Stegostoma tigrinum: one gene and its partners. The protein of the gene in region 4 interacts with the protein of the main gene of each other region in a pairwise test. Links are inferred from orthologs where the notes say so. Each region holds a gene or a part of one and is shown on either strand. Other genes may lie near its edges.

Region 1 (7,862 bases), on a different chromosome or scaffold from region 4:
TCTCCACAATAACATACATAGAGGCTGCAAGGAAGAATCTCATTGGTGGAGTTTGTGAACATCCTTAAACAGATCTTCGAGGAAGCAATGTATTTTCAAAACAGTCTGTACTGACAGAAATTTTGTATTCAATTTGATTATTCCAGATCTAAAATAATTGATACTTGTACTATAATTGCTATTGTTAAACATAAAAGTGTGTTTAATATACTGATATGGAAGTAAAGATCAAAAATTGAAAACATAAACCTTTTCCATTTGCTTGACTGCTTTGTGCATTGTTCCCTGTGGCACTGAGCAATGAACAACAGGAGGAAATAATGTGCCAGAAATTAAGCCTGTTGAATAGTATCAATTGCACCTCGTTCTGAGCAGAACTATTCTATGATTCAATCCAGTTAGTTATACAACCAGTACCACAATATGACACACACACTGTAGACCTCAGTGTCTATACCTCAATTGAGGCCATGCTGGGAGTGTACTTCCATGGATGTTGGATGAGGGTAGGATTTTGCTCAGCTATGAGTCCACAAAAGTCAAATCATATGCTAAGGCTTCCTGTCCCTGCTGACATTTCATGATTACTTGTTTGAAGTGCTATACATTAGCCAGCGCTCTTTGAACAGTCCACGCTCAAAGTACAGGAAAATTTAAAGGGAGAAAACACGATGCAGACATTTCAATTGCAATTTTGTATATCTACCAGTAGAGGCCATCAGAGTATTTACAAAGTGATAATGGGAGCTGCAGATGCTGGAGAATCCAAGATAACGAAGTGTGGAGCTGGATGAACACAGCAGGACAAGCAGCATCTCAGGCCCAAAATGTCAGCTTTTGTACTCCTGAGATGCTGCTTGTCCTGCTGTGTTCATCCAGCTCCACGCTTTGTTATCGGCGTATTTACGTAGCCTGCTTAGCGCTACTAAGAGCTGTGTAAGTGTGGAAATCATTGTCACAATTTAGGAGTAGAAAGTATTTAGGAATGTTGTGAAGAGATTAGCCACCTGACCAAAATGGTACAGTTTCCCCAGGGATTCAAATACCTCCAGCTGAGACAAGGAAAGGAATTTGAACCAAATTCACTGCTGGGAAAACTCTGGTGATTCAACTGGGTTCTACACACAGCTGAATGGAGAAGTCAATAGACAGCTAAATCACAGAAGGTGTGAAACCAGTATCCAAAGTGATTCAGTCAGTTTCCCAATGTCAGGTTCAGTTAAAATTGCCCCATTACATTCTTTTTGGAAAGGCTGCTGACCAAACTGGAATTGATATGCACCCCCAGAGCGGGAAGGAAGAAAGGTAACCAACATTAATACTTGGAAATGAACAGAGTGGTCTTACTGAAGTGTACAAGATAAATCTGGCTGGTATGTGCTATTCACAAGTTTTGCTGGCCTCTCTTTCTCTTTGACTCCAGCCAGATTGCACTCAACTGCTGTCCTGTTCCCATAGTGTTGAATATGCCACAGACACTTAAGTGTCATAGAATACCTACAGTGTAGAAAGAGGCTACTTGGCCCATCAAGTCTGCAGTGACCCTCCAAAGTGTATCCTACCAGGCTTGGCCCTGTAAATCTGCATTTTGCGTGGCTAACCCACCTAGCCCGTACACTACAAGCCAATTTAGCATGGCTAATTGACCTAACCTGTACATCATTTGACTGCAGGAGGAAACCAGAGCATCCAGAAGAAACCCATGCAGACAAGGAGAGAATGTGCAAATTCCACACAGTCAACTAAAGCTGAATTGAACCCAAGTCCCTGCCACTGTCAGCCCTCCATCCTGGTTCTCATATTAGAATGGTCACTTTGGGAGAAGCCGTTGTCCATTGTGTAAGTATTGTAACATTTCCAGAAGAGGAGATGGAAAATCTTCAATTCAAATACATTTAAGAAGTTAGATAATCAGATGAAGAAGAAAGGAATAGAAGATTATCCTGATAGATTGAGATAAGGAAGAGACTTGATGGGAAGCATGAATGGGCTAGGTCAAATGACCTATTTCAGTGCATCTATGTCATTCTATGAATTCTTACTTCTCCTTAAACTTACACTACGTACATTATCCTGACACACTGACTCCCTGACCATCAGGCCAAATGCTCCTGTAAATTGCCTATTGATTTTGAAGTATTTTGACATTGTTGAGCCTTGGATTGGAACCTTTAAGGATATGAACATTAATTTAATCACCAGAGTGTAACTACATGAAGCAACTGCATTGCAGAGGAGACAGAAGGTGAATGAAGGACAATGCAGAAAATGATTCCTGTCAGGCTGCCATTTATAACAGCTTCTTTAAAATAATAAAACTTAGAGAGCCTGGACATTGAATCAGTATTAATAAGTGTGCAGAGCACACTGCAGAAAATGTTTGCTTATGTTGAATCTTAGGTGAACTGATTTCAAAACCAATTTATAATGAGGTAGTGTTTTTCAGATAATAAACATTGTAAAGTTGCTTACTGGAGATGAGAGGGCAAGAGCAGGAAATGGGAAATGTATTAACTCACATGTCATTCCAATCTCTGTAAGTTCCAAATCATGTTTCTTTCTAAGAACACTGTTCTTCCAACTGGGAAAAACCATTAAAACTGGTGAATGAGACATAGTGGTCCAATGGGTCTTGGATACTTCATAATGATGGTCCAGTCCAACTAGTGCATTACTACTGAGATATTAGGAACTGCAGATGCTGGAGAATCTGAGATAACAAGGTATAGAGCTAGATGGACACAGCAGGCCAAGCAGAATCAGAGGAGCAGGAAAGCTGATGTTTCAGACCTAGACCCTTCTTCAAAAAAATTTTCAGAAAATTAGTTTTGCCAACTTGTTAAACTTTTAAGACAATCCTTTAAAACCTTGCATGGACAGTGTGGTTGTACATGAGGTGTTTAGGAAGGTCTACTACAGCAAGTAAGCCACTGGTGAAAACACTAAACACTCTAGAACATGTTTTTCACAGTTTTCACAATCTTTTAATACAATAATATTAAAACTAGCATTTTCAAAATTAGATAAATGTTTATTTGAAGTGTTCATTCACAATCTGTAGTATGTTTGTGTAAGGGTTTTTTAAAAAAATTCTGGATTTAACAAATTAGGATATCTGCAAAATGGTTCTAGCTAAATTTGTAACAATAATAAAGCACTATTACATTTTAGAATGGATATGGGAATGAGCTGTATTGAAATTATTACCCACAATTTAAAGTCTGTTCAATGAGTTGCTGAATCTGAGGAAAACACCATGGGAGATGCACAATTTATAACAGATAAGTTAAAGTCAATTAGACATTAATTTATGAAACAATACTTAGTTCAAAGTCTCAGAGATAGTAGGAACTACAGATGCTGGCGAATCTGAGATAACAAGGTGAGGAGCTGGATGAACACAACAGGTCAAAGCAGCATCATAGGTGCAGGAGAGCTGACGTTTCGGGCCTAGACACTTCTTCAGAAAATCTTCTGAACATTTTCTGAAGAAGGGCCTAGGCCCGAAACATCAGCTCTCCAGCTCCTATGATGCTGCTAGGCCTGCTGTGTTCAGCTAGCTCGACACCTTGTTATCTTAGTTCAAAGTCTGGCTTTGATCGCATTGCATACTGTGTGATTAGTCTTTCTCATTGACAAAAGTATCACAGAATGGTTTCAGTGCAAAAGGAAGCCATTCAGCCCATTATACCTGTACCGGCTCTCTACAACAGGAACGCAACCAGTCCCACTCTCCTACATTTTCCCTGTCATCCTGCAAATTCTTTTCTTTGGGTAATTATTAAATACCGTTTTGAAAGCCAAGACTGAATCTCATAATACAGAAAAAAAATGTGCAGCATCATATTTTAAGTCAGTCATCATTCCAATGCAAAACATGTTATTTCTAGCACCAGAAGAGTCTCAGTGGGTAGTGAATTTAACTATTGGGTCATAAAATTGTGAGTTCAAGATCCATTCCCAGAGTGTCCCCTAAAAATCAAAACTTGTCAATCCAGTGCATACTGGGCTGTCAGATGTGACATATTTTGAATGACACCTGAAACTTAGGCTCTGTCTGCTGTTGGGTGGATGTGAAATATCGCACGGCACTTCTTGGAGGAAAAGTGACGGAACTGCCCCACAGGCCGTGTCCCGATCCCCCGTGTTATTTGTCAATCAAGATGATAGTCACTGGATTGCTGTTCTGTGGGAATCCTGTTGTGCACAAATTTCTGCTGCATCTCCCACTTCACACCAATTTGCTTCATTTTTAAGAAGGTGCTTCATCAGGTTCCAAGCGATTTAGGGCGTGATGTCAATGCAGCACCTTTTTGTTGCTCATTGCCCATAGCATGGGCTTTCTTACGGGCATCTGTTACTCAAAAATAATGATGACATGGTGGTGCCCATGTTGGACAGGGGCAAAGTCAGAGGTGACACGACACCAGGTTATCACCCAACAGGTTTATCTGAAAGCTTGCAACACGCTACTCCTTCATCAAAAGAAAACTTCACCTAATGGAGGAGCAGTGCACTGAAAGTTTAAGATTTCAGATGAACGTGTTGGATTATAAACTGATGCCATGTGACTTCTGACATGAAAAACAATGATGTAGTCCTTAGGAATGTGTCAATATTTGTTGGGCCGAGCCCGAACAAATGAAGTTTGAAAACCTTATTTCAAGATGGCTCTGTTCTCAGGGCTGTGGGAAACAAATTAACACTGATAATAACTGCTGGATTAACAATTACAATAGTTAATTCTGGAATCTCGTTGAGTTGGGTCACTAATTTGAGTATTTTGGGTTGTACAATGATACAGGCAGGAGGGTGCAGCATTGCTTTAAGGGGCGTGGCCGGGCTGGTTGACGTTAGGCCGGCAGGCGCCGCCATTGTGGGAGGTAGGTGTCAGTTCCAGGCTCCACTGATACTCCGGGGCCTAGGCCTCTCCCTCCCGGTACGGAGCCGCTCCGGGGACCCTCACGGGACATTTGGATTGCCGCCTGAACTTTAGTTCGGTTAGTGCTCTGGGGCCTTTGTGCCAGGGTTAAACCTCAAACCTTAACCTTCTGTCCCCACCCGACACCCACAATCTACCCCATTCCCCACCCCAACAATCATCCTCCCCCCCACCCCCACAATAATACTCCCCCCACCCTCACAATCCTCTCCCCCCCCACAATAATCCTCCCCCCACCCCCACAATAATCCTCCCCCCACCCTCACAATAATCCTCCCCCCACCCTCACAATCCTCTCCCCCCCCCACAATCATCCCTCCCACCCCCACAATCATCCCTCCCACCCCCACAATAATACTCCCCCCACCCCCACAATCTACCCCATTCCCCACCCCTACATTCCTCCCCTCACCCTCACAATAATCATCCCCCCACCCCCACAATCATCCCACCCCCACAATCATCCCACCCCCACAATCATCCCACCCCCACAATCATCCCACCCCCACAATCATCCCACCCCCACAATCATCCCACCCCCACAATCATCGCCCCCCCCCCCAGCCCCACAATCATCGCCCCCCCCCCCCAGCCCCACAATCATCCCCCCCCCCAGCCCCACAATCATCCCCCCCCCCAGCCCCACAATCATCCCCCCCCCCAGCCCCACAATCATCCCCCAGCCCCACAATCCCCCCCGTCACTCTCTTCCCCCCCCGTCACTCTCTTCCCCCCCCCCCGTCACTCTCTTCCCCCCCCCCCGTCACTCTCTTTCCCCCCCCCCGTCACTCTCTTTCCCCCCCCCCGTCACTCTCTTTCCCCCCCCCCGTCACTCTCTTTCCCCCCCCCCGTCACTCTCTTCCCCCCCCCGTCACTCTCTTCCCCCCCCCGTCACTCTCTTCCCCCCCCCCGTCACTCTCTTCCCCCCCCCCGTCACTCTCTTCCCCCCCCCGTCACTCTCTTCCCCCCCCCCGTCACTCTCTTCCCCCCCCCCGTCACTCTCTTCCCCCCCCCCCGTCACTCTCTTCCCCCCCCCCGTCACTCTCTTCCCCCCCCGTCACTCTCTTCCCCCCCCCCGTCACTCTCTTCCCCCCCCCCGTCACTCTCTCCCCCCCCCCGTCACTCTCTCCCCCCCCCGTCACTCTCTCCCCCCCCCCCGTCACTCTCTTCCCCCCCCCCGTCACTCTCTTCCCCCCCCCCGTCACTCTCTTCCCCCCCCCCGTCACTCTCTTCCCCCCCCCCCGTCACTCTCTTCCCCCCCCCCGTCACTCTCTTCCCCCCCCGTCACTCTCTTCCCCCCCCGTCACTCTCTTCCCCCCCCGTCACTCTCTTCCCCCCCCGTCACTCTCTTCCCCCCCCGTCACTCTCTTCCCCCCCCGTCACTCTCTTCCCCCCCCGTCACTCTCTTCCCCCCCGTCACTCTCTTCCCCCCCCGTCACTCTCTTCCCCCCCCGTCACTCTCTTCCCCCCCCGTCACTCTCTTCCCCCCCCGTCACTCTCTTTCCCCCCCCGTCACTCTCTTTCCCCCCCCGTCACTCTCTTTCCCCCCCCGTCACTCTCTTTCCCCCCCCGTCACTCTCTTTCCCCCCCCGTCACTCTCTTTCCCCCCCCGTCACTCTCTTCCCCCCCGTCACTCTCTTCCCCCCCCGTCACTCTCTTCCCCCCCCGTCACTCTCTTCCCCCCCCGTCACTCTCTTCCCCCCCCGTCACTCTCTTGCCCCCCCCGTCACTCTCTTGCCCCCCCCGTCACTCTCTTGCCCCCCCCGTCACTCTCTTGCCCCCCCCGTCACTCTCTTGCCCCCCCCCGTCACTCTCTTGCCCCCCCCGTCACTCTCTTGCCCCCCCGTCACTCTCTTGCCCCCCCCCGTCACTCTCTTGCCCCCCCCGTCACTCTCTTGCCCCCCCCGTCACTCTCTTGCCCCCCCCGTCACTCTCTTGCCCCCCCGCCACTCTCTTCCCCCCCCCGCCACTCTCTTCCCCCCCCCGTCACTCTCTTCCCCCCCCCCCGTCACTCTCTTCCCCCCCCCCGTCACTCTCTTCCCCCCCCCGTCACTCTCTTCCCCCCCCCCGTCACTCTCTTCCCCCCCCCGTCACTCTCTTCCCCCCCCCCCCGTCACTCTCTTCCCCCCCCCGTCACTCTCTTCCCCCCCCCGTCACTCTCTCCTCCCCCCCCCACTCTCTTCTCCCCCCCCCCACTCTCTTCTCCCCCCCCCCACTCTCTTCTCCCCCCCCCCACTCTCTTCTCCCCCCCCCCACTCTCTTCTCCCCCCCCCACTCTCTTCTCCCCCCCCCCACTCTCTTCTCCCCCCCCCACTCTCTTCTCCCCCCCCCACTCTCTTCTCCCCCCCCCACTCTCTTCTCCCCCCCCCACTCTCTTCTCCCCCCCCCACTCTCTTCTCCCCCCCCCACTCTCTTCTCCCCCCCCCCACTCTCTTCTCCCCCCCCCACTCTCTTCTCCCCCCCCCCACTCTCTTCTCCCCCCCCCGTCACTCTCTTCTCCCCCCCCCACTCTCTTTCCCCCCCCGTCACTCTCTTCTCCCCCCCCCGCCACACTCTCCTCTTCTCCCCCACCCCGCCACCCGCTCCTCTTCCTCACCCCCCCGCCACCCCGCCTCCCGCTCCTCCTCCTCACCCCCCCGCCTCTCCCGCTCCTCTTCCTCACTCTCTTCTCCCCCCCCGTCACTCTCTTCTCCCCCCCCCCACTCTCTTCTCCCCCCCCCCACTCTCTTCTCCCCCCCCCACTCTCTTCTCCCCCCCCCACTCTCTTCTCCCCCCCCCACTCTCTTCTCCCCCCCCCACTCTCTTCTCCCCCCCCCCACTCTCTTCTCCCCCCCCCCCACTCTCTTCTCCCCCCCCCCACTCTCTTCTCCCCCCCCGTCACTCTCTTCTCCCCCCCCCCACTCTCTTTCCCCCCCCGTCA
Region 2 (7,332 bases), on a different chromosome or scaffold from region 4:
CTGTGTTCATCCAGCCTCACATTTTATTATCTTGGAATTCTCCAGCATCTGCAGTTCCCATTATCTCTGATTATACCTGCTGAAGTCTCCCTGCCTGCTGCCGATCGTAACCAGCAACCGTAAGAGTCAGAGCCGTACAGCACTGAAACAGACCCTTCGGCCCAAACAATCCAAGCTGATGGTATTCCCAAACTAAACCAGTCCCATCTATCTGTGCTTGGCCAATATCCCTTCAAACCTTTCCTAGTCATGTACTTATCCAAATGTCTTATAAATGTTCTAAGTGTACCTGCACCCGTCACTTCTTCTGGCAGGTCATTCCACGCACAAACCACGCTCTATTTAAAGAAAGGTTGCACTTCATGTCCTTTTTAAATCTTTCTCCTTCAAAATATGTCCCCTGGTTTTGAACTCCCTTAAGGGAAAAGACGTTTGTCATTATCTATGTCCCTCGTGATTTTATAAGCCTCAATAAGGTCTCCCCTTGACCTCCTAAATTTCAGTTAAAAAAGTCCCAGACTTTCCAATTTCATTTTGTAACTCAAACCCTCCATTATCCTTCCTATAACAGGCCATCCAGAATTGGTCACAGTACTATAGAAGAGGCCTTATCAATGTCCTGGACAATCTCAAAGTGATGTCCCAACCCAAAAGGTCTGAGCAATGAAAGCAAATGACCCATTCTTTGATAGCAACTGATATTGGTATAGCCCCTTGAATGTAGTTAAACAACCAATCTACTTCAAAAGGATTGAACGAATCAGTCCAGGGTGCTGGCACAAGGTCCTTTTTGGCAATTATTTAAGCAGAAAAATTTTCTTTTTGGCTGATTATTTTAATTAGTTTGTAACTCAGAGCAGAACTTCAATAAATACTCTCTTCATCATTGCTTTTCTGCTAAACTTTGGGCTTGTTAATCTTCCTGAAGTTTACAGGAGTTAATATTTGGGACGCCACCCAAAATATCTTGGAAAAAGATCCTAAGTGCAATTAACATTATCAGTTTCTGTTTCATTTAAACTTTCACATGTTAAAGTCATTATAAGAATTTCTGTTGTTCCTGAAATAATGATGATTTCTTCTTTGTGTAGGCGCACTCTTTGCACTACTTTTTGAACCACCAGCAGGTTTTATACTAATATTTCTTCCTTTCCTTTCTCACAGTTTGGTGCTCTTGTTCAGCTTGGAATGTCTCTCACCTTAATGCAAACCATCATCTGCTCTTCCATTTTACACTCTAGCTGCAAATTGTCAACCTCAGAGTTTCTGCATTATCAAAAGTTTTCTTGAAAGTAAATGTCTCCTCTTACAGCAAACCTGCTCTCACTTTAGGATCGCTAATGCTTAAGACAATATTATTTTGGAGGAGATCAACTTTCAGTTATCGAAATTCACAGGATTCAACTTGATATATCAATGTGGTCACATCCTGATAAACAGTCTCCCTCATTCCTGAACTCTGATGTTAACACATACCATTCATATGTAACATAAATACGGGACTAAAAGCGTGCCTTCAAAGCATTGAAAATCTTTTCTCCCTGATATTTCTTGCTGAAACCTAGACTGTAATACAGCTGATAACACTTTTTCCCCAGCATTAACGGTAGGGTTGCAATTGTTATGTGCTCAGGCTTAATTGTTGAAACAATTCTGTTGCTCCTTCACAGTTTTGCCACAGAGTGAATAAAATTCCAATTCTAATTCATATATCCCTTCATTTCCGTAGTAACAGGGAGTGGAAAATAAATAGCCATTTAGACTCATTCCATAATTTGATTTACTCCTTCTTTGCTGTCTCTTTCATTTTCTCACTCTCTTCCAGTTCTGCAATTCCACAGTTTCGGTTATACTAGTCTGACACCAGGATTCAAGTGATATATTTAATGGCTATCCACATGTTGCACAGAAATGCATGTACAGCAGAGGTCAAATGATTACCACAAGCCAGTCAGTACACTAATGGCATATTATTACATTTCTTCAAACACATTCCCTATTCCTTCGTCCATACCCTCTTGTTCCCTGTCAGTGGGTGGGACCATATTAACCATTTGATGCGACACTCTTGAATCAGAACTGTATGAAGCTAAATAAGATGAAATATTGCTGAAGGACTTGGGGTGGGAATGAAATCCCAAAAAATTACAAAGTCCATTTTGTGCCTGAGCAGAAATCCTTACCTTTCTTTGTATTATTTGTTTTAATAATTGATAGGATACCACATAAAAGGATAATGCACAAAAGCAATGGTGAGATATGGATAAAGGATAAGCTAACTAACAGAAAATAGAGTTGGGACAAATGGGACATTTTCAGATCGGTAAACTGTAACGAGTGTGACAGGGATCAGTGCGGGGACCTCAACTATTTACAACCTACAATGATCAGTATAAAGAGACCAATTGTACTGGAGCCAAATTTGATGAAGATGGGGAGGTAGAGTTTGCTGTGGTGGAAAACAAGTTGTTAGGAAGACAAAGATCTTTAGAATGGTGTAGATAGATTAAGTAAGTGGGCAAAAATTTGGCAGATGCCAAAATTTGTGTGGCAAAATTTGAGGTCCACTTTGACAGGAAAACCAGAAACACTGTATTTTATTTAAATGGAGAGAGACTGCAGAATGTTGTGGTACAGAGGGATCTTGGTGTCCTTGTAATTGACTCAAAAAATATTGGCATGCAGGTACAGTAGGAAGTTGTAATAGACTTTATTGTAAGCAGGATGGAATATAGAGGTAATCAAATCTTAATAATTTGGTACAGGGCATTGGTGAGATTGCAACCTGCAGCTCTGCTTTAAAACTTAACTGAAGCATACAGACAACTTGAAAATCATGAAGCAATGATTTTTCATTCCACTGACATCAGATCTTTACACATTTGAAAAGGATTTAAGGTTCAACCAGAAAACCAGTGTTCACATAGAATTACATTTATAGTTCTTACCAGTTTGAGGAAATCCTTTGTCTCTCCTTTTTCCATGGGGACTCTTTCTGACAAAGATACCCTCTCCTCCAGAGAGCACCAACTAGACCGGTCTAAGTCTCTGCTGGATGCCCTCCCTCACCATTGCCACCTGCTGGAGGCCCCATTACATGCTTGCCCATCCTGGCAACTACACACAGCCCACAGTGACCTCTGAGCAAGCAGTTATGTGGTCAGGTTCATTTGTACCATTATGGCTACACTGTTCATGTCCACATTCTCTTAATGAATTACCAATTTTGGCAAATGATAGGGTTTGAGGCGACATCCAGTATTTGCTTGAGAGGACCTTCCCAGCCTCTGATTTGTGTTGGTACCTTCCATGTGATACAGCTTTGTGGCAGATCACACTCATTAGGTTGTAGAATATCTTGATCCGGAAGGCATCCCAATATGTAAAGCCAAACACCATCAGGAATATTGAGCAGCATCAAGAAGGATGATGATTTCTTAATTTTTTGTTTTGTGAGTCATGAGAAATACATTTACCACTCTGGTTATAATTCAGGTCTTTTGGTCACAGGTTGGAATGGACTGCATGATCTTGATGAAGACATTCTTGAGTATGAGAATGGCTCAAGCATATTACTACTGGAGTTGAAGACCATGAAATCTATTGCAAGGAACTCCAAGTGGCCTCTTGGTGATGGGGATCCCATGATGGGGCGCAACCACTTTCCAGCTTGGCCAAAGTGCACCTCTAACAATTTCCACAGCAGCAGCTATCCCAGGCCAGAATACTGCTTTCTGGTCAGGGAAGTGGTTTTTTATTGTCACTTGGTGTCCTGCTTACTTGTCAGTCATTACTAACAGTTGGCACTTGAAGCTGTCAGGAAAGATGAATTACTTCACTTCTCTCTCCTTATTATGAACCAGCCAGTAGAGGACTCCATCCTCCCCACCGATCCTCTTTCAGCACCTCAACAGTTTTCATTCCTGCTTGGACTCCCTGAACAGCTGGTGCATGCTTTGTCGATGTTGTGCCTTCCTGGACCGTCTGAGGGCCCTGTTTTGCGATAGATGGCAAAGGTGAAACCAAACAGGGCTCTATCAGTCTGGGATATTGGGAACTGCAGATGCTGGAGAATCCAAGAAAATAAAGTGTGAAGCTGGATGAATACAGCAGGCCAAGCAGAATCTCAGGAGCTCTAAAGCTGACGTTTCGGGCCTAGACCCTTCATCAGAGAGGGGGATGGGGAGAGGGTTCTGGAATAAATAGAGAGAGAGGGGGAGGTGGACCGAAGATGGAGAGAAAAGAAGATAGTTGGAGAGGAGAGTATAGGTGGGGAAGTAGGGAGGGGATAGGTCAGTCCAGGGAAGACGGACAGGTCAAGGAGGTGGGATGAGGTTAGTAGGTAGGAAATGGAGGTGCGGCTTGGGGTGGGAGGAAGGGTTGGGTGAGAGGAAGAACAGGTTAGGGAGGCAGAGGCTGGCTGGGCTGGTTTTGGGATGCAGTGGGGGGAGGGGATGAGCTGGGCTGGTTGTGTGATGCTGTGGGGGGAGGGGATGAACTGGGCTGATTTTGGGATGCGGTGGGGGAAGGGGAGATTTTGAAGCTGGTGAAGTCCACATTGATACCATTGGGCTGCAGGGTTCCCAAGCGGAATATGAGTTGCTGTTCCTGCAACCTTCGGGTGGCATCAATGTGGCACTGCAGGAGGCCCATGATGGACATGTCATCTAAAGAATGGGAGGGGGATTTGAAATGGTTTGCAACTGGGAGGTGCAGTTGTTTATTGCGAACCGAGTGGAGGTGTTCTGCAAAGCGGTCCCTGAGCCTCCGCTTGATTTCCCCAATGTAGAGGAAGCCACACCGGGTACAGTGGATGCAGTGTACCACATTGGCAGATGTGCAGGTGAACCTCTGCTATATATGGAAAGTCATCTTGGGACCTGGGAAAAGGGTGAGGGAGGAGGTGTGGGGGCAAGTGTAGCACTTCCTGCGGTTGCAGGGGAAGGTGCCGGGTGTGGTGGGGTTGGAGAGCAGTGTGGAGCGAGGGAGTCACGTAGAGAGTGGTCTCTCCGGAAAGCAGACAAGGGTGGGGATGGAAAAATGTCTTGGGTGGTGGGGTTGGATTGTAGATGGCGGAAGTGTCGGAGGATGATGCGTTGTATCCGGAGGTTGGTGGTGTGGTGTGTGAGAACGAGGGGGATCCTTTTTGGGCGGTTGTGGCGGGGGCAGGGTGAGAGGGATGTGTTGCAGGAAATGCGGGAGACGCGGTCAAGGGCGTTCTCGACCACTGTGGGGGGAAAGTTGTGGTCCTTGAAGAACTTAGACATCTGGGATGTGCGGGAGTGGAATGCCTCATCCTGGGACCAAATGCGGCGGAGGCGGAGGAATTGGGACTAGGGGATGGAATTTTTGCAGGAGGGTGGGTGTATTTCTCGTTCCTCCCACCCCAAGCCGCACCTCCATTTCCTACCTACTAACCTCATCCCACCTCCTTGACCTGTCCGTCTTCCCTGGACTGACCTATCCCCTCCCTACCTCCCCACCTATACTCTCCTCTCCACCTATCTTCTTTTCTCTCCATCTTCGGTCCGCCTCCCCTCTCTCCCTATTTATTCCAGGACCCTCACCCCATCCATCTATCAGTCTGGACCTGGTTTGGATCTCAGTCAAGTGCATTGGGAATCTTAGTCTGAAAGTCAGAGGGAACTGAGGTGGGAATACTGCCTTTGACTGATTCATAGGCATTGTGTCACCCAAAGTCCCATGTTTCCTGGTTTCTGTTGCACTCAGCTTTGAAGACATTTAAAAGTTGCTGAATGGGTTGTTGTCAGCTTTAAACTCTGTGAAATCAGACTGTCTCTGAACTTCTGAGAAATCACCGTCTCAAAGCAAACATTTGAGTTTCAACCTGGATTATTTCTCCATATTCCTCTTGTACAGCTTGGCCATTTTTTTTTTCTGGCCTTGAACCTGTGAAAGCACCACATGGGATCTCTACTCCTGATGGTGGTCGCAGCCATGGTTATTGAGGGCAATTTCATTTGAATTGCCCAGCCCTGTCACTACTCTGGCAAGTCTTTGGAGCATCACTTGGGCAGGATTTGCCATTAGACTTCCTGTGGAGACAGGCCAGCTGTGGTCACAACCTATTCCAAGTGCCTATTCAGCCTGAGGCCTACACTCCTAGCCATGCTGATAGCCACCCCTCTGATGGTAGCCTCGTTCCTGGTCTATGGAGTCCAACCTTTCCAGATGACTGCTCTTCTGCTTCAAAGGAGGACAATTGAGGTTTATTGCTACTGAGCCTCCTCCAATCCATTTGGACAGTCCCATCCCTCATTACTTCATCTAGGCCCACTTGTTGATTGAAAGAGGGACCCAGGAGGACAATGTGATCAAACAAATTTACCACCAGCTCCAAGGATACAGAAATGAAATCTTCACCTTCGGCTTCATTATACTCATAAAGCCTCTGCTGTAGCTATGAGAGGCAGCTGCTGTCCCCTTAGACCTCTGTCAGTACCTCAAAGAACTATTGTAGATTTTAGATGTCTTCCCAGTATTTCTGATGTGCTTTTCTGCCCATCTGTCATGAATTCTGCCTTCTCACTCTGGTTGAGTCCTACGAATGCCATGGCCAGCTGTGTGTCCTCAATCCATTCTTTGTTGGAGCATCAGGTGTTTCTCGTGTTTTCCTTAATCTGTCTACAGATTTCCTACAGATCGACAAATAAAATATCTGACTAGGTGTACTGCTTCCTTCCTCCATAGCATCAAGGAAATATACATGGGAAGCCTCTATCTGGGTTTGGTCAAAAGGTCCAATTTCCTCCATCAATACCTGAGCCCCTAAGGGTCCAAGAGCAGCTTCAGACTTCCTCACAGACATTGTCGGTTTCAACTCCTTTACCCTTTGTTCCATCTCAGTTGAGCACTTTTGAATCTCAGCTGCCATGGCATGCTTCTGGTGCTGTGGAATTCTGCCAACTGCACCATGGATGTATTGGAAAATTTTTCCACCTTGCTGGGATCACACGCTGAAAATCAAGCCCCACTGTTCCTAGAAGTTAGAGTTTAAAAAGTATGCAGAATCCCCTAAGTTACGTGTCTTTTAGGCCCAGATTGACAGAAAACACAGACCAGGTTTCTGTACTTGGCAAAAGTGATTGATTATTTCAGATCTTCGGTCCACCTCCCCCTCTCTCTCTATTTATTTCAGTACCCTCTCCCCATCCCCCTCTCTGATGAAGGGTCTAGGCCCGAAACGTCAGCTTTTGTGCTCCTGAGATGCTGCTTGGCCTGCTGTGTTCATCCAGCTCCACATTTTGTTACACCATTGTTACCTCCCTTTTACTTACATGCATGCGCGCACACACACACATATACACACAG
Region 3 (7,866 bases), on a different chromosome or scaffold from region 4:
ATTGGAGCTTGAAGCTCTCTTCAACAAATGGCAATTAATGCCAGATTAGTTGTTCATTTTAAATATGAGATACATAAGCTTTTATTAAGCAAGAGTATTAAGGGATATAGACCAAAGGCAGGTATATGGAGTTAGGCCACAGATCAGCCATGATCTCCTTGAATGGAAAAATGTGCTTGAGGGCCCCAATGGCCCAACCCTATTCCTATGTTCCTACCTGCCAGAACTTAGTGTGGAAGGATACGTTGACAATATGCCCAAGTTTGACACCCCAAATTAGTTCTGTTTTTAGGGTCCAACACCAGCTCGAAAATTTAGTCTTTTGATTTTCTCTGTCAACTCATATCAAAATTTTACCTCAGTATAATAATAGCCTTCTTGTTTGTACTAAGATTGCTAAATGCATTAATTCAAGAAATATAATTAGAGTCTTTTAACGCTAACATGTTGCTTTCAATGGACTGTTGAACAAACTGTTTCCTGTTCTAATCATGCATGGAGCTGGAAACTCGTTCAATCACTGCAGCATTATAACAGTACAGTGTAAACCAATGTGTCTAACACTTACTTCCCTGGTATCTGAACCAGCAAAAGGTTTTCTGCAGACATTTTTAAAATGAAGTTCAAATTAGTCACCAACACGCTAAAAGAGGAGAAGACAGAAAACAAAGTAAGTCAATGAAATGCTTTGAAATGCGGTATGACATTACGTGCTCAGTTGAATTCTTATTCATTAATTTGATCTTTGAGATTTGATTTCAGTATTTCAGTATCTTAAGTCACAAATCACACTGACAACACAGAAGACATATTAGTATACATCTAACATATCATGCACAATCTACTTAGCTTCAATGCTGCAATACTTCTAGTTCCTCCTCCCTGGCAGATTAAATTTTCCATGAGTTGTTTGGGCTAAAGATTTCATTTGTAATGTTTCTGCAATGTAGATTTTGCATTTTCCTTAACAAAAGTTAACCTTGAAGTGCTAATTAATTATTTTAAAGGAAATATATGTTGAATCTCAAACATTTTGCCAGACTATTGTGAGAAGATTGTCAGTAATAATCTCTGTGGGTTCAGAAATTAATGTAATGGTGATCAGGATTATCCTCTTCTTAAATGCATGCAACTCACCACCACAAGGTGATAATAGCTAATAATGGCAGGCAGAATAGAAAAGCTCAACATTATTTCAATTGGAAAAGACTTAGAAAGCTGCAGCACAGAGGTATTCAGGATCCTTGCTCAAGATTCACAAAACTCTATCATCCACATTCAGCGGGTAAAAGGGAAGGACTGTTGGAATCTGTTGTAAAGGGTATAAAGATATATAAAAATAGGGGAGTCTTGTTAAAACTATACATAGCCCTGGTTAGACCACACCTGGAATACTGTGAACAGTTTTAATCCCCTTATTTAGGGAAAGATATACAAGTACTGGAGGCAGTTCAGGGAAGATTCATTAGGTTGGTCCCCAGTGTAAAGGGATTTTCTTATGAAGAAGGGTTGACAAGGTTGGGCCTGTACTCATTGGGATTTCGAAGAATGAGGAGTGATCTTATTGAAACAAGATTTTTAGGAGCATTAGTGGGGAAATGCAGAAAAATTATGTCCCCTTGTGGGATAGTCTGGGACCAGAGGACATAAAGTCAGAGTTATGAGTCATCCATGTATGATGCAGGTGAGGAGAATTTTTCCTTTTCAGAAGGTAATCAATTTGCGGAATTCTTTACCACAGCGGACTGTTGAGGCTGGGTTGTTAATTATATTCACGGCTGAAATAAGCAGATTTTTTTTATTCACTTGTAGAATTTGGCATCATTGGTTTAGCCAGCACTTACTGCCCAACCCTAACTGCTGTTGCGAAGGTGGTGGTGAACTGCCTTCTCGAACAGTTGCAATCCATGTGCTGTAGGTAGACACACAATACTGTTAGGGAGAGAATTCCAGGATTTTCACCCAGTGAACGTGAAGGAATGGTGACATGGAGTCATACAGCACAGAAACCAATCAGGATAGTGAAGGGCACGGAGGGGAACTTGCAGGTGATTGTACCCTGGTCCTTGGAGATGGTACTGGACATATGTTTGGAAAGTGTTGGAAAGGAGCCTTGGTGAATTTCTGCAGTGCACCTTGTAGACAGTACACACTGCTGTTACTGAGTGTTGATGGTGGAGGCATGGGTGTTTGTGCATCCCGTGCCAATCCAACGGGCTGGGGAGCTTCAAGCTTCTTGAGTCTTTTTATTTAATTGTCAATTCTTAAAGGAATCTTGGGTTGGATAAGGCACAGAAGTTGTGGATTATCAGATCAGCCACCACCTGATTTAAAGGTAGAACAGTCTCGCCAGGCCCAGTGGCCTACTTCAGCTCCCAGATATTATATTGTAGTTCAACAGCCGTGGCTAAAAAAAATGCACAAATCGTCCGAGTAGCGGCTCTGTCTCCTATTTTCCCTTTGTGACAACAAGAGTTTCGCAAGCCGTGCACGAAAACAGTAACACACGTTCAACGATTTAACAAGTTGAATATTTACTGCTTTACACATTCCGAGAACACAGAGGAATCGATTGTTCTCATTTCAAAACAGCACGTCGTTTCCCTTGAGTATGTAAATTCATCAGTGAATCGCCCGAAGATTTATGCATACAGATATTTTACAAGCTTGAAATGCACAGGATAAATTGGGCCAGGTTCGGTTGTGCCAAGTGAAACCTGACTTGCCCCAGGTACCATTTTCGGAGAAGACAACTCACCGGATAGTTCGGGATTTTTTGGTTGTTTGCAATGTGTTCCCCTGTTATCGGCAGAGTACTTCAATGGGATAGGAAAACATCGAACACTATGAGAATACAAAGGATAAATTTAACCTGTACAGCAATCAGCACAGTCCGCATGTTATTCATTTCACTACAGTACCTCACTGGTTTTGTAAAACTGAAACAGAACAAGACTCATAAACTACGGTGTGATCATTGTGTGAAATAACTCGAGTCAATTTCCCGGAAATGCCGCTCTGAGAATGACCTTGTTTACTGTTGTTTCCAAGTTACCGTCGAATGGCTAGCACCGCCCTCTGATCTCAGCTCTAGGCGATTTGACGAGGGAAGGATGTATTGGCTTCCAGAAGCAGTTTTGACCAAAAAAAACACCAAAATCCAAGAACATGTATTTTTCTTTAATCTTGGCTTTATTATTTGAAGACTGGCAGAAGATTACATATGGAACATGGACTTAGTACTGAATTAATTGAGCAGGATATTTCTTAAATTATAAATTTCAATTCACCCCTTATGCACAACAGTTATTGACTTTGAAATTAAAGGGAAATTACAAATTACACCCAATTACACATCAAGTTGACGATTCCAGTGCTGGTAAAACCGAAGAGATAATGGGAACTGCAGATGCTGGAGAATCCAAGACAACAAAGTGTGGAGCTGCATGAACACAGCAGGCCCAGCAGCATCTCAGGAGCACAAAAGCTGATGTGTCGGGCCTTGACTCTTTTCTGATGAAGGGTCTAGGCCCGAAATGTCGGCTTTCGTGCTCCTAAGATGCTACTTGGCCTGCTGTGTTCATCCAGCTACACACTTTGTTATCCTGGTAAAACTAAAATTTGTTTTTGCTTATGTATGTTATTGATTTATAATTTATTTTAATGTAAGGCTTGTTGTACAACATGGTCTTCATTCATGCAACATCAACCAACTCCAAGAGATTAAACCTTTGACTTCCTTGTGGTGTAAAGGCTTTAAAACCATGGTCCAATCTTCCAGTGATGTCTCAGAGCTGTAGCTCACTGGGTATAAATAGCACAGTAGAGGTGGAGTTAAGAGGAGAGAGGAAGAGAGAAACACACCAGGAGCTCAACACAAGCCTGAAGTCTAATCTTGCGGACGATAGAAACAGTTACGTAGAAGAAGGAGGAGTAGACAGACTAACATTAGGAGGTTTTGGAGCCATCTCTTTCAATAAAGTAATAGTAAAATTACAGTAGTCCAGTGAAGCTCAATGCAAGTTGGAAAAATAGCACCTCATTTTTGATTTGGGAACCATACAGCCACCTTCTCCCATGTCCTTACCCACACACCAGGCCTTGTTATCACATGGTTTGCTACAATACACAACCCATTGTTAGCCATTAACAGTCTCCATTAATAGCTATTCACCCTTGCAGCCTGATTGCTATCCACTCCTTTGTCTGTGTGACTTCTTCTCTCTTTTGGAAATCTATTGCCACTTATAGTTTACTCCTTACTCCCTCCCCCCACCCTATTTCATGCATACAAAGCCCAACATTTCCTTAGCTACTATTAGTTCTGAAGAAGGGTCACTGGACCAAAACATTAACTCTGATTTCCTTCTGCACATGCTGCTAGACCTTTTCAGCAATTTCGGTTTTTGTTTCTGATTTCCAGCATCTACAGTTCTTTTGATTTTTACTTAGTGAGATTACAGTGTAGTATATCCCTGAATACCATGAAATGTAGTATTTAGTCTTAATATGTAATAAATAATGTAATAAAGAAAACTAAACTTCAGGTTAAGCTTACTCCTCGACGAGTCTGTCTTGAACACGCACTCACAGATCTGTGTACATGTGTATACACAACAAAACATTGGAAGGCTGTAACCAGGATCACTCTGCTGGCAACTATTTCTTTCATTTCATTCAAAAGAAAATGGTTATGGAAGGAGCAGGTTCCTCATACAAAAGCACAGCTAAAACAAGGAATAAGACAGAGGAGACATCAAACTTATCTTTCCTATATCCTTAACCCGCATGCCATATGCTGCAGTTTCAGAGACCATCATATCTTTAATGGAGGAGGTACACAGACTTTAGAAGCAAAATAGAGTCATAGAGCTGTACAGGATGAAAAAAGACTCTTTGGTCCAACTCATCCATGCTGACCAGATATCCTAAATTAATCTTGTCCCATTTACTAGCATTTGGCACATATCCCTCTAAATCTTTCCTATTCATATGCCCATTCAGATACCTTTGAAATATCATAATTGTACCAGCCTCCACCACTTCCTCTGGCAGTTCATTCCATACATTCACTGCGCTCTGCATGAAAACGTTGCCCCTTAGGTTCCTTTTAAATCTTTCCCCATTCACCTTAAATCTATGCCCTTTTGGATTCCCACACCCCAGGAAAAAGACCTTGATCTTCATGATTTTATAAACCTGTATAAGGTCACCCCTCAGCCTCTGATGCTCCAGGGAAAATAGCCCCAGTCTATTCAGCCTCTCCCTATGGCTCAAACCCTCCAACCTGAGCAACATCTTTGTAAATGTTTATGAACTCTTTCAAGTTTTGCAACAGCCTCCCTATAGCAGGGAGATCAGAATTGCACACAGTATTCTAAACATGGCCTAACCGACATCCTGCACAGCAGCAACATGACCTCCCAACTCCTATTCTCAATGCACTGACCAACAAAGGCAAGCATTTAAAAACCTTCTTCACAATCCTATCTACCTGTGACTCCACTTTCAGGGAACAATGAACCTGCGATCCAAGGTCTCTTTATTCAGCAACACTCTCCAGGACTTTACCATTAGGTGTATAAACCCTATCCTGATTTGACTTTCCCAATGCAGCATCTCACACTTATCTAAATTAAACTCCATCTAACATTCCTCAGCCCATTGGTCCATTTGATCAAGATCACACTGTACACTGAGGTAAATTTCTTCGCCATCCATTACACCTCCAAATTTGGTGTCATCTGCAAACTTATTAACCATACCTCCTACGTTCACATCCAAGTCATAAGAATAACAAAAAGCAGTGGACACAGCACCGGTCACTGTAGCACACTGCTGGTCATAGGTGTCCAGTCTGAAAAACAACCCTCTACCACCACCCTCTGTATCTACCTTTGAGCCAGTTCTATATCTGAATGGCTAGCTCTCCCTGTATTGCATGTGATCTAAACTTGCTAACCAGTCTACTATAAAGAATCTTGTCGAGCACCTTCCTGATGTCCATACAGATCATGTCCATTGCTCTGCCATCATCAATCTTCTTTGTTACTTCTTCAAAAAACTCAATCAAGTTGGTGAGACACAATTGGCGGCACGGTGGCTCAGTGGTTAGCACTGCAGCCTCACAGCACCAGGGACCCGGGTTCAATTCCAGCCTCGGGTGACTGTCTGTGTGGAGTTTGCACATTCTCCCCGGGTATGCGTGGGTTTCCTCCGGGTGCTCCGGTTTCCTCCCACAGTCCAAAGATGTGCAGGCTAGGTGGATCGGCCATGCTAAATTGCCCATAATGTTCAGGGGTGTGTGGGTTATAGGAGTATGGGTCTGGGTGGGATACTTCAAGGGGTGGTGTGGACTTGTTGGGTCGAAGGGCCTGTTTCCACACTGTACGGAATCTAATCTAACCTAAAAAATAAATTTCCCATGCACAAAGCCATATTGACTATTCCCTAATCAGTCCTTGCCTTTCCAAATACACGTAAATCCTGTTCCTCAGGATTCCCTCCAACAACGTGCCCACTGTTGACATCAGGCTCACCAGTCTATAGTTCCTTCGCTTTTCCTTACCATGTTTCTTAAATAATGGGACCGCATCAGCCAACCTCCAGGCTTCTGGCACCTCACCTGTGGCCATTGATGGTATAAATAGCTCAGTAAGGGGCCCAGCAATCGCTTTGCTAGCTTCCCACAGAGTTCTAGAGTACACCTGATCTAGTCCCAGGGATTTATCCACCTTCGTGCACTTCACGACATCCAGCACCTCCCCCTCTCTAATACGGACATTTTTTGTGATGATGCTATTTATTTCCCAATGTTCTCTATCTTCCATTTCTTCTCCACAATAAACACTGATGCAAAATACTCACTTAGTATCTCCCCCATTTCCTGTTGTTACACACATTGACAGCCTTGTTGATCTTTAAAGGGTTCTATTCTCTTCCTTATTAATCTTTTGTGCTTAATGTAGTTGTAGAATCCTTTTGGATTCTCCTTACTCCTATTTGCCAGCTATCTCATGTCCCTTTTTGCCCTCCTGATTTCCCTCTTAAGTATACTCCTACTGCCTTTATACTCTTCTAGAGACTTACTCCATTCCTGCTGTCTATACCTTCTTATTCTTGACCAAAGCATCAATTTCTTCAGTCGTCCAAAATTCCCTACACCTACCTGCCTTGTCCTTCACCCCAACAGGAACATACTATCCTTGAACTCTCGTTATCTCATTTTTAAAGGCTTCCCATTTTCCAGCCATCCCTTTATCTGCAAACATCTGCAAAACAGCTTTTGAAAGTTTTTGCCTAATACTGTCAAAATTGGTCTTCCTCCAACCTGGAAATTTAACTTTTAGTTCTGATATATCCTTTTCCTTCACTGTTTTGAAGCTAACAGAATTGTGGTCACTGACCACAAAGTTCTCCCCGTTTGCAACCTCAATCACCAGCCCTGCCTTAAATATAACAGCACAGACTTTAAGACCATAAGACATCGGAGCACAAGTAGGTCATTCAGCTTATCTGGTCTGCTCTGTGATTCAATGTGATCATGGGTGATCTGATAGTCCTCAACTCCACTCGCCCTGCCTTTTCTCCATCACACTTGATTCCCTTAGTAATTAAAACCTGTCCGTCTGAGCTTTGAGTGTACTTAAAGACCTAATCTCAACAGTCCTATCTGATAAAAATTCCACAGATGCACTGCCCCTCTGAAATAAACAAATCCTCATCTCTGTTTTAAATTCATAAGTCATTACTCTGAGGCTATGTTGAGTGCGTAAATTAGTTGAGTAGATTCTGGTTGCTGTAGCAACAAATTGGTACAGATACTGTGGGCCTAGTGGACTTCATTCTGACTATAATAACAGCTCC
Region 4 (7,151 bases):
AAATGTTGACAATCAGAGGAACTGGAAGTTTTGTTTTTAGTTATCTTGTGCAGATATGTCATGACATACTTCTGGAGCAAGTGGAACTTGAATCCAAACCTCTGGCCTAAAGATAGGAATGCTACCACTGTGCCACAACAGCACCAACTGGGCTGGCATATGTATCTGTAAACCAATAATACAGCAAGCAATTAAGAAGCAAACAAGATGTTAATCTGTACTAAAAAGCATCTGGAGTATAAGAATAAACAAGCCATTACATTGAAAGGGGTCTCATTGAGACTGCACCCAGAATACAGTTTTGATCTTTATGCCCAATAAAGGATATACATGCTTAAAGTAAGTACAACAATGGGTTCTGCAGTCTTAATGTATGATGAGAACAGATTGAAGACAGCGGGCCTATATATCCTAGAGTTTTGAAGATTAGGGGGTGATCAAATTGTAACAGAAATTGCCCAACAGGCTTAACGAGATATTGTGAGGATACTTCCCTTCGTTAAGGAGATTGAAGGTTTAAGGTTCACCACTTGAGAATAAGGGAATATCCATTTAGGATTGAGATGTAGAGAAGGTTTTCATTCAAAGCACTATGAACCATGTTACCCCTCAACTGCTCGATGTGCACAAGTTGGCCACTTTAATTTAATACGTGTGTCGCAGTGTAAGATAATTTTAAAGGACCTCGCACCCAAAATGAATGTTCCACACTTCCCAAACGTAATCCAAGATACTTTGATGTGAATCTTTGAGTCATGGTTGCTTGGTTGTTGATCATATTCAAGTTAGAGATCTGTTGTTTGATATTGAGAGAATGAAAGGACAAGGGATAGGGTGGGAAAACAAAGTTGAAGTAGAAGTTATTGACATGCCACTGTCTCACTACATGTCAGGGCAGGCTCAAAAAAGCTGAACGGCACATTACTATTTCCATTTCTTATGCTAATGGATTTAAACATTAAAAGGTTTTCTTTTCAACCATTACATTGTATAAAAATTGAAACTACGCAATGAAAATTCTACTAGCAATCATGCGGTCACCAAGAATTAAAATAGGTAATGTACCAAACCACAATTGGCCTTTATAGCCTCTAATTTATTCAGAATTTATTATTGAAATAGCAACTCGCTAATTTCAAATTCTGCCATACCAAATGAGAATGACGCATTGTTGTAAATAGTCACGTGGTTCACTTGGAATCAAAGTGTCTCTGCTCGAGTTCAGCATGGTCCTATAGGATTTTGATACTTGTCAAACCTGTGGTCATCAGGTTATGACATTTGCCATTTGATACAAAATATGTGGAGAATTAAATAAACAGATGCACAATCTTTTTTAGATATGAAATTTTAAACCATCAGCAATCAAGATCAATATGCTTAGAGTCAGAAGGACAGCTTCAAGAGGGTTTTGTAATCCATAGAGCAAGTATGCTGCATTTACTGTAAAATGGTGGTGACAGACTGCTAAGTAAAGATCTCTGTTTCTAATGGCGTACTCTAATTTATTTTTAAATAAAAACAATGGTCAAACTCTTTTTTTTATTAGAATTGATACAAATAGGACATTCCAGTATGGAGAAGAATGGAAAAATCTCTACATATTGACTTCTGCTCCCTAAGTGCTTACAATCAATCATCTGCGATTTCCAGACACAGCATCCAGATGTTGAATAAAATTTTTGTTCATGGCCACACTTTCTGTAATCTCTCATTTTATGTCAATGATGTCCTATTGTTTACAATTGCTTATTTCAACAAATAAATCAAAATGAGTGTTGAATACTTTTGGACGTTACTAAATCACCCACATACAGAAAACTGCACATTTCAAAACTAAAATGGAAGCCATGTAGTGCTGTTTATTGATTGGGTTCAACTATTTGGTGAAAACGACTGATGAGCAGCTAAACCAAACCAAGTTCTTCAGTTATCACTTTCACAGTGTCACTAGGACTGCTGTAGAAATTTACTTGAGCATTCGGACTACTGTTCTTCTTTTTATCGGGCTCACAGGCCAGAATGCAACATTGCTTAGAGGCAACATAAGGAAATAGGAACAGAAAAGATAACAAGTGGCTGACTGACTATTTGTTTTGCCGGTCAGGTGGTCCTTCAGCTTGTTGGTCACTATAAACCTGACAATTCAACTATATTACGACAAACATAATCACAGTCTAACCAAAAAATGGCTTCCGTCATACAGCAATCTGGTTTGATTCTTCCTGCTCAACTCAGGACGGATGACAAATATTGAGTAACACATACACATGGCAAAAAAAGTTAGAGTGACAGCTTAATATCTGTTTTGGCATTCCAAATTTGTGAAAAAAATTGTTATACAGATCAACAAGGCACCATTTTATAAATGCCTTAGTATGAAAAGTGCACGTCTAAGTATATTCGATGAAAGCTAATGTTTTGTTCTGTTGAAACGATCATTATGGACAACGAGAGATATTTCAGATATACCAGACATGAGCGACGGTAAATACTGGTAGGTCCGCTCAATAACTGCACATTGTTTTGACCAGAGAGATAACCAGTTATCCTCCTTTGATCGAGACATAAACCAGGCGTGCAATTTCTCTTTCAAAAGTAGTGATTTCAATAGCGAAACACTAGCATTGAGGAAATACTTAGCACATTTCCAATTTCAATAAAGACCTAATGTCTTATACCTGAGACTCAAGCTAGGGTTTTAAATTTATTTATTCACAGTGTGCATGGCATTTATTTTGATGCACGTTTCGGGGAGGAAAGACCGTGAAATTATTTAAGCCAAGTGGATTCCACAAGGCCCAGGCGCAGTACCTGCTCCTCCAGGTTTCTTTTACTCAGCGCTAGCTCCTCTATTATTTTTGGGAGTTTCTTTAATAATGTCGGATCGTCTCCAAACTCTTTCTCAACGAATTCGACCACATGCTGAGTGAGCTCGCCACCATACCCATCCTCCGCCGCCATGACAGCGGCTGGCACGTCACCACATCCGGGCAACCGGACCGGTTACCATGGAGACCGCGCACAGGCTGACTCGGCGTCATCCCAGCAAAACGATGGAGAACAGTTCGGAACTGCTGGAGGAATGCTCAAACCGCCAGTGGAGACAGAAACACAGTTAATGTTTAACCATTTTGTGACACGCCAGTGTTCAACAGCAGCGCAGACCAGACTCTTCGGATAATAAACACAAAGAACCGCGGATGTTGGAGGAGCTCAACAACTCTGACAGCATCTGCAGAAATCATGTGGAGGTGCTGGTGTTGGACTGGGGCGGACAAGGTCAGAAATCACACAGCACCAGGTCGTAGTCCAACAGAACAAAGTATGGGGCTGGATGAACACAGCAGGCCAAGCAGCATCTTAGGAGCACAAAAGCTGACGTTTCGGGCCTAGACCTTTCATCAGAAAAGGAGTCCAACACGCTGATTTGAAATCACAAGCTTTCTAAGCGTCGCTCCTTCTTCAGGTGTTAGTGAAATAGGTAGTATCAGACATTGAATTTATAAGTAAAAGATCAAAAGGTCACACCACTGAGGATGGACTAAACAAATCTTAAGATGCTGCTAAATCTTTAAATCAATTAGAAGGTTTTAATTGATTAATATGTATATGTAAATCGCCAGATTCCTTTCAAGACACGGTCCTGAGAGAAATAAAGATCTTTGCAGTATACAGAGGAGGTGACATTTTAGGTCACACAACGCATATTAGGTGTAGGACCTTGTTTAGAGATAGTAGGAACTGCAGATGCTGGAGAATCTGAGATAACACAGTGTGATGCTGGATGAACACAGCAGGCCAAGCAGCATCAGAGGAGCATGAAAGCTGACGTTTTGGGGGTAGGGTAGAGAGGGTGACTGTGTGTGTGAGTGAAGTTGGGGAGAAAGAGAGAAACAGTGAGTGTGTGGGGGGTGTGTTTGGGTGTGTGGGGGGGGGGGAGGGGGAGAGAGAGTGTGTGTGTTTTGGGGGTAGAGGCAGAGTCTGTATGTTTGGGGGAATGGGGAAGAGAAAGTGTGTGTGGGGGAAGGGGGGAGAGAAAGATTGAGTGTGAGAGAAAGAGAGAAAGTGTGTGTATTTATGTGTGAGGGAAGATAGAAAGAGAGACTGTGTGTGTGTGTGAGAGAGAGAGAGTTGAGTGTGGTGGGGTCACCTGTAATGCAACATGAACCCAAGATCCCAGTTAAGGCTGTCCTCATGTATATGGAACTTGGCTATCAATCTTTGTTCAGCGACTCTGCATTGTTGTGTATTCCAAAGCCCACCTTGGAGGTTGTTTACCTGAAGATCCGAGGCTTAACGTGTCCTTTACCGCTGAGGTATTCCCCGACTGGGAGGGAACATTCCTTCTGATGATTGTTGTGCAGTGTCCATTCATCTGTTGTTGTCGTGTCTGCATGGTTTCGCCAATGTACCATGCCTTGGGGCATCTTTCCTTGCAGCATATGAGATAAACACTGTTGGTTGAGTCACGTGAGTATCTGCCAGGCACACGGTGGGTAGTTCTCCCACGTGCTCCCAAGTGTCCATGTTGAAGATCTGATATGTCTTACAACAGCTACTAATGACAGGGTTGTATAGACTTGTCATCAATATTGTCCAGAAGGTTGGATAGTTGCTGCGAACAATGGTTTACAGTTGGGCAGTTGTTTGAGGTCGTGAAGTGGAGGCATGGGGAAGATCTTGGTGAGGTGCTTATCCTCATTGATAATGCATTGAAGGCTGTGAGCAACGTGGCAGAGTTTCTCCACTCCTGGGAAGCACTGCATGACAAAGAGCACTGTGTCAGATGTATCCCACGTCTGTCTCTAAGGAGGGCATTACGGTTTTTCACTGTGGCATGTCGGTGCTGGCTATTGATGGGTATTGCATTGTATCCTGTTCTTATGAGGGTGTCCTTCAACACCTTTAGGTTTCAGTTTCACTCCTCCTTATCTGAACAGATTCTGTGTATGTGTAGGGTTTGTCCATAAGGGATGGTTGTTTTAATAGGTTTCTGGTGGAAGCTAGAGAAGTGTGGCACCGTAAGGTTATGCGTAGGTTTGTGATAGAATGCTATACTGCGGTGTCGGTCCTCGTCCTCAAACTCACCAATGGTGTGAACCCTGAAGGTTCTGAAGAAGGGTCACTGGACACAAAACATTTGACTCTGCTTTTCCTCCACAGATGCTGCCAGACATAGTGTTTTGAGTTATTTTGATTTTTGTTTCCAAGTTTTCAGGGATGGTGTCAGTTTGGCTTCCATTCCTAAATATAGAATTTAAGCTAATTTGAAATGCTATTCTTCCCCGGTTCCTCTAATCAGTGACTGAGAAGGCACCTCAAGTCACCTCTTGCTGCTGCCTGAGTATTTTGCTGAATTAACATGGGCAGTCCAAAGTCAGCAAAGTGTGCACACATAAACACGAGTCCATACAGACACAAAGAAGTAAACAAGTGTGCTATCTTTCACTCTTCCCAGAGTCACATCAGTTTGGCAAACGGGTGGCTGAGTTTGGAGGGATCCAGAGGTAATTTGGTGTGGGGTAGGAGTTGAGGCCAGCAGCTGCAGAACTCTCAAGCCCAACTTTGGGGATGGGGAGATATTGTGTTGACAGTTGGTGGTGGCGGCAGCAGCGGTCAGGTCCAGGTGCTGTTTGGGATAAGAACACAAGAACTAGAAGCAGGAGTAAGCCATCTGGCCCCTCGAGCCTACCCACCATTTAATAAGATCATGGCTGACCTTTGAGACTCAGCTCCACTTACCTGCCCACTCACTATAACCCTTAATTACTTTACTGGTCAAAATTTGTCTAGCCTTGCCTTAAAAACATTCAGTGTGGTAGCTTCACCCACTTCACTGGGCAGGGAATTCCACAGATTCACAACCCTTTGGGTGAAGAAGTTCCTCCTGACTTCACTCCTACATCTGCTTCCCTTTATTTTGCCCTCTAGTCCCACCTGCTAGCGGAAACAACCTCCCTGCCTCCACCTTATCTATTCCCTTCATAATCTTATATGTTTTTATAAGATCTCCCCTCATTCTTCTGAATTCCAATGAGTATAATCTCAGTCTGCTCAGTTTCTCCTCACAATCCAGCTCTCTCAACTCTGGAATCAAGGATAGCAGGCCTGGAGGGTGAGGAGGATCAAGGCAGACCTGCAGATGGGGTGAGATTCACACGGACCTGATTGGACATAGGGACCAGGTACCCTGATAGAGCTGACAGACTTGAAGAAGTATCTGGCAAACCTAAAAGGTGAGCAGGCCTGATGGAGAGTTTACTTGAAGGCCAGAAAGAGAATTTACTAGCAGGCCCTTGAAGATGGGGTTAGGAATTTGCAGAGAGGGGCTTTAATATTGGCGAGAGGGAGGGAGGTTGGGCAGCAATGTGATGTATCAGGAGTATGCGGCCTTTTGAGGGACAACACATACTATCAAGGAGGGAGGCTAAGTAAAATATATGAAATATGTCGTGATGGTAAACGTCTGTGAACTGAGATAGTCATATTGGTCCCCTTGACTTTGTTGAAACTGCATAAAGTTTTCCTTTGAAGCTTCCTTCTCCTTCCAGTCATATGGGCCCCTACTCCTCCAGTCTCATCAACTCCTCCAGTAAAGCATACCTTGTATTTTTTTTCCTTCAAGTTGGTCATCCTGAAAGGGGACTTCAATGTTGATCAGGATTAGTAGCCCATTAGCACCATCACTGACTGAGGTGATAGAATTTTGGAGGAACAGGCTTTCAGACTGGGCTCGCAGTAGCTAATGAGAGAACCAACACTGGGGGTTACCTCCTTTACTTTATCTTCATTAATCTACCTGTTGCGGATGCATTTGTCCTTAACAGTATTGGTGGGAACGATCACTGCACAGTCCCTGTTATGTGTTGTTGACCAGACGAGACCAGACTGTCTCAAAACATGTTAAGAAGGTAGCCTAAACTGTTAACTTTTTCTTATTTTGAAGATAGATGTGAAGTGTGTGTTTCCAGGTTTTTGCAACTGGTCAAACTACTTGATGTTAAGCAAAACACAATTTATTTAAACACTATAGTTAAAATACAAACAAAAGAAAGAGGAATTTAGAGTGACTTAACTGAATAATAGATACAGTACATATTAATAATTAATTGTTCCAATACAACAACATTTCCAAAAACACATCCTGT

Evidence for each region.
Region 1: the proteins of rint1 (region 4) and c30h19orf25 interact in binary tests that used the Homo sapiens proteins (3 or more experiments, as listed by UniProt). The link is inferred for Stegostoma tigrinum from reciprocal best matches to the Homo sapiens genes RINT1 and C19orf25.
Region 2: the proteins of rint1 (region 4) and sfr1 interact in binary tests that used the Homo sapiens proteins (3 or more experiments, as listed by UniProt). The two-hybrid records come from large-scale screens. The link is inferred for Stegostoma tigrinum from reciprocal best matches to the Homo sapiens genes RINT1 and SFR1.
Region 3: the proteins of rint1 (region 4) and fam81b interact in binary tests that used the Homo sapiens proteins (3 or more experiments, as listed by UniProt). The two-hybrid records come from large-scale screens. The link is inferred for Stegostoma tigrinum from reciprocal best matches to the Homo sapiens genes RINT1 and FAM81B.

The regions. Positions count from the first base shown.
Region 1 is NC_081383.1:11,326,811-11,334,672, reverse strand, and holds the start of c30h19orf25 (UPF0449 protein C19orf25 homolog), read left to right. Parts: upstream 1-4,858; 5' UTR 4,859-5,000; intron 5,001-7,862.
Region 2 is NC_081373.1:15,987,254-15,994,585, forward strand, and holds the start of sfr1 (swi5-dependent recombination DNA repair protein 1 homolog), read right to left. Parts: upstream 3,005-7,332; 5' UTR 2,949-3,004; intron 1-2,948. UniProt on the Homo sapiens protein: Component of the SWI5-SFR1 complex, a complex required for double-strand break repair via homologous recombination. Acts as a transcriptional modulator for ESR1.
Region 3 is NC_081356.1:88,806,216-88,814,081, forward strand, and holds the start of fam81b (protein FAM81B), read right to left. Parts: upstream 3,015-7,866; 5' UTR 2,759-3,014; intron 644-2,758; 5' UTR 610-643; coding exon 569-609; intron 1-568.
Region 4 is NC_081378.1:22,456,513-22,463,663, forward strand, and holds the start of rint1 (RAD50-interacting protein 1), read right to left. Parts: upstream 3,002-7,151; 5' UTR 2,965-3,001; coding exon 2,815-2,964; intron 1,696-2,814; exon of another isoform or gene 1,550-1,695; intron 1-1,549. UniProt on the Homo sapiens protein: Involved in regulation of membrane traffic between the Golgi and the endoplasmic reticulum (ER); the function is proposed to depend on its association in the NRZ complex which is believed to play a role in SNARE assembly at the ER.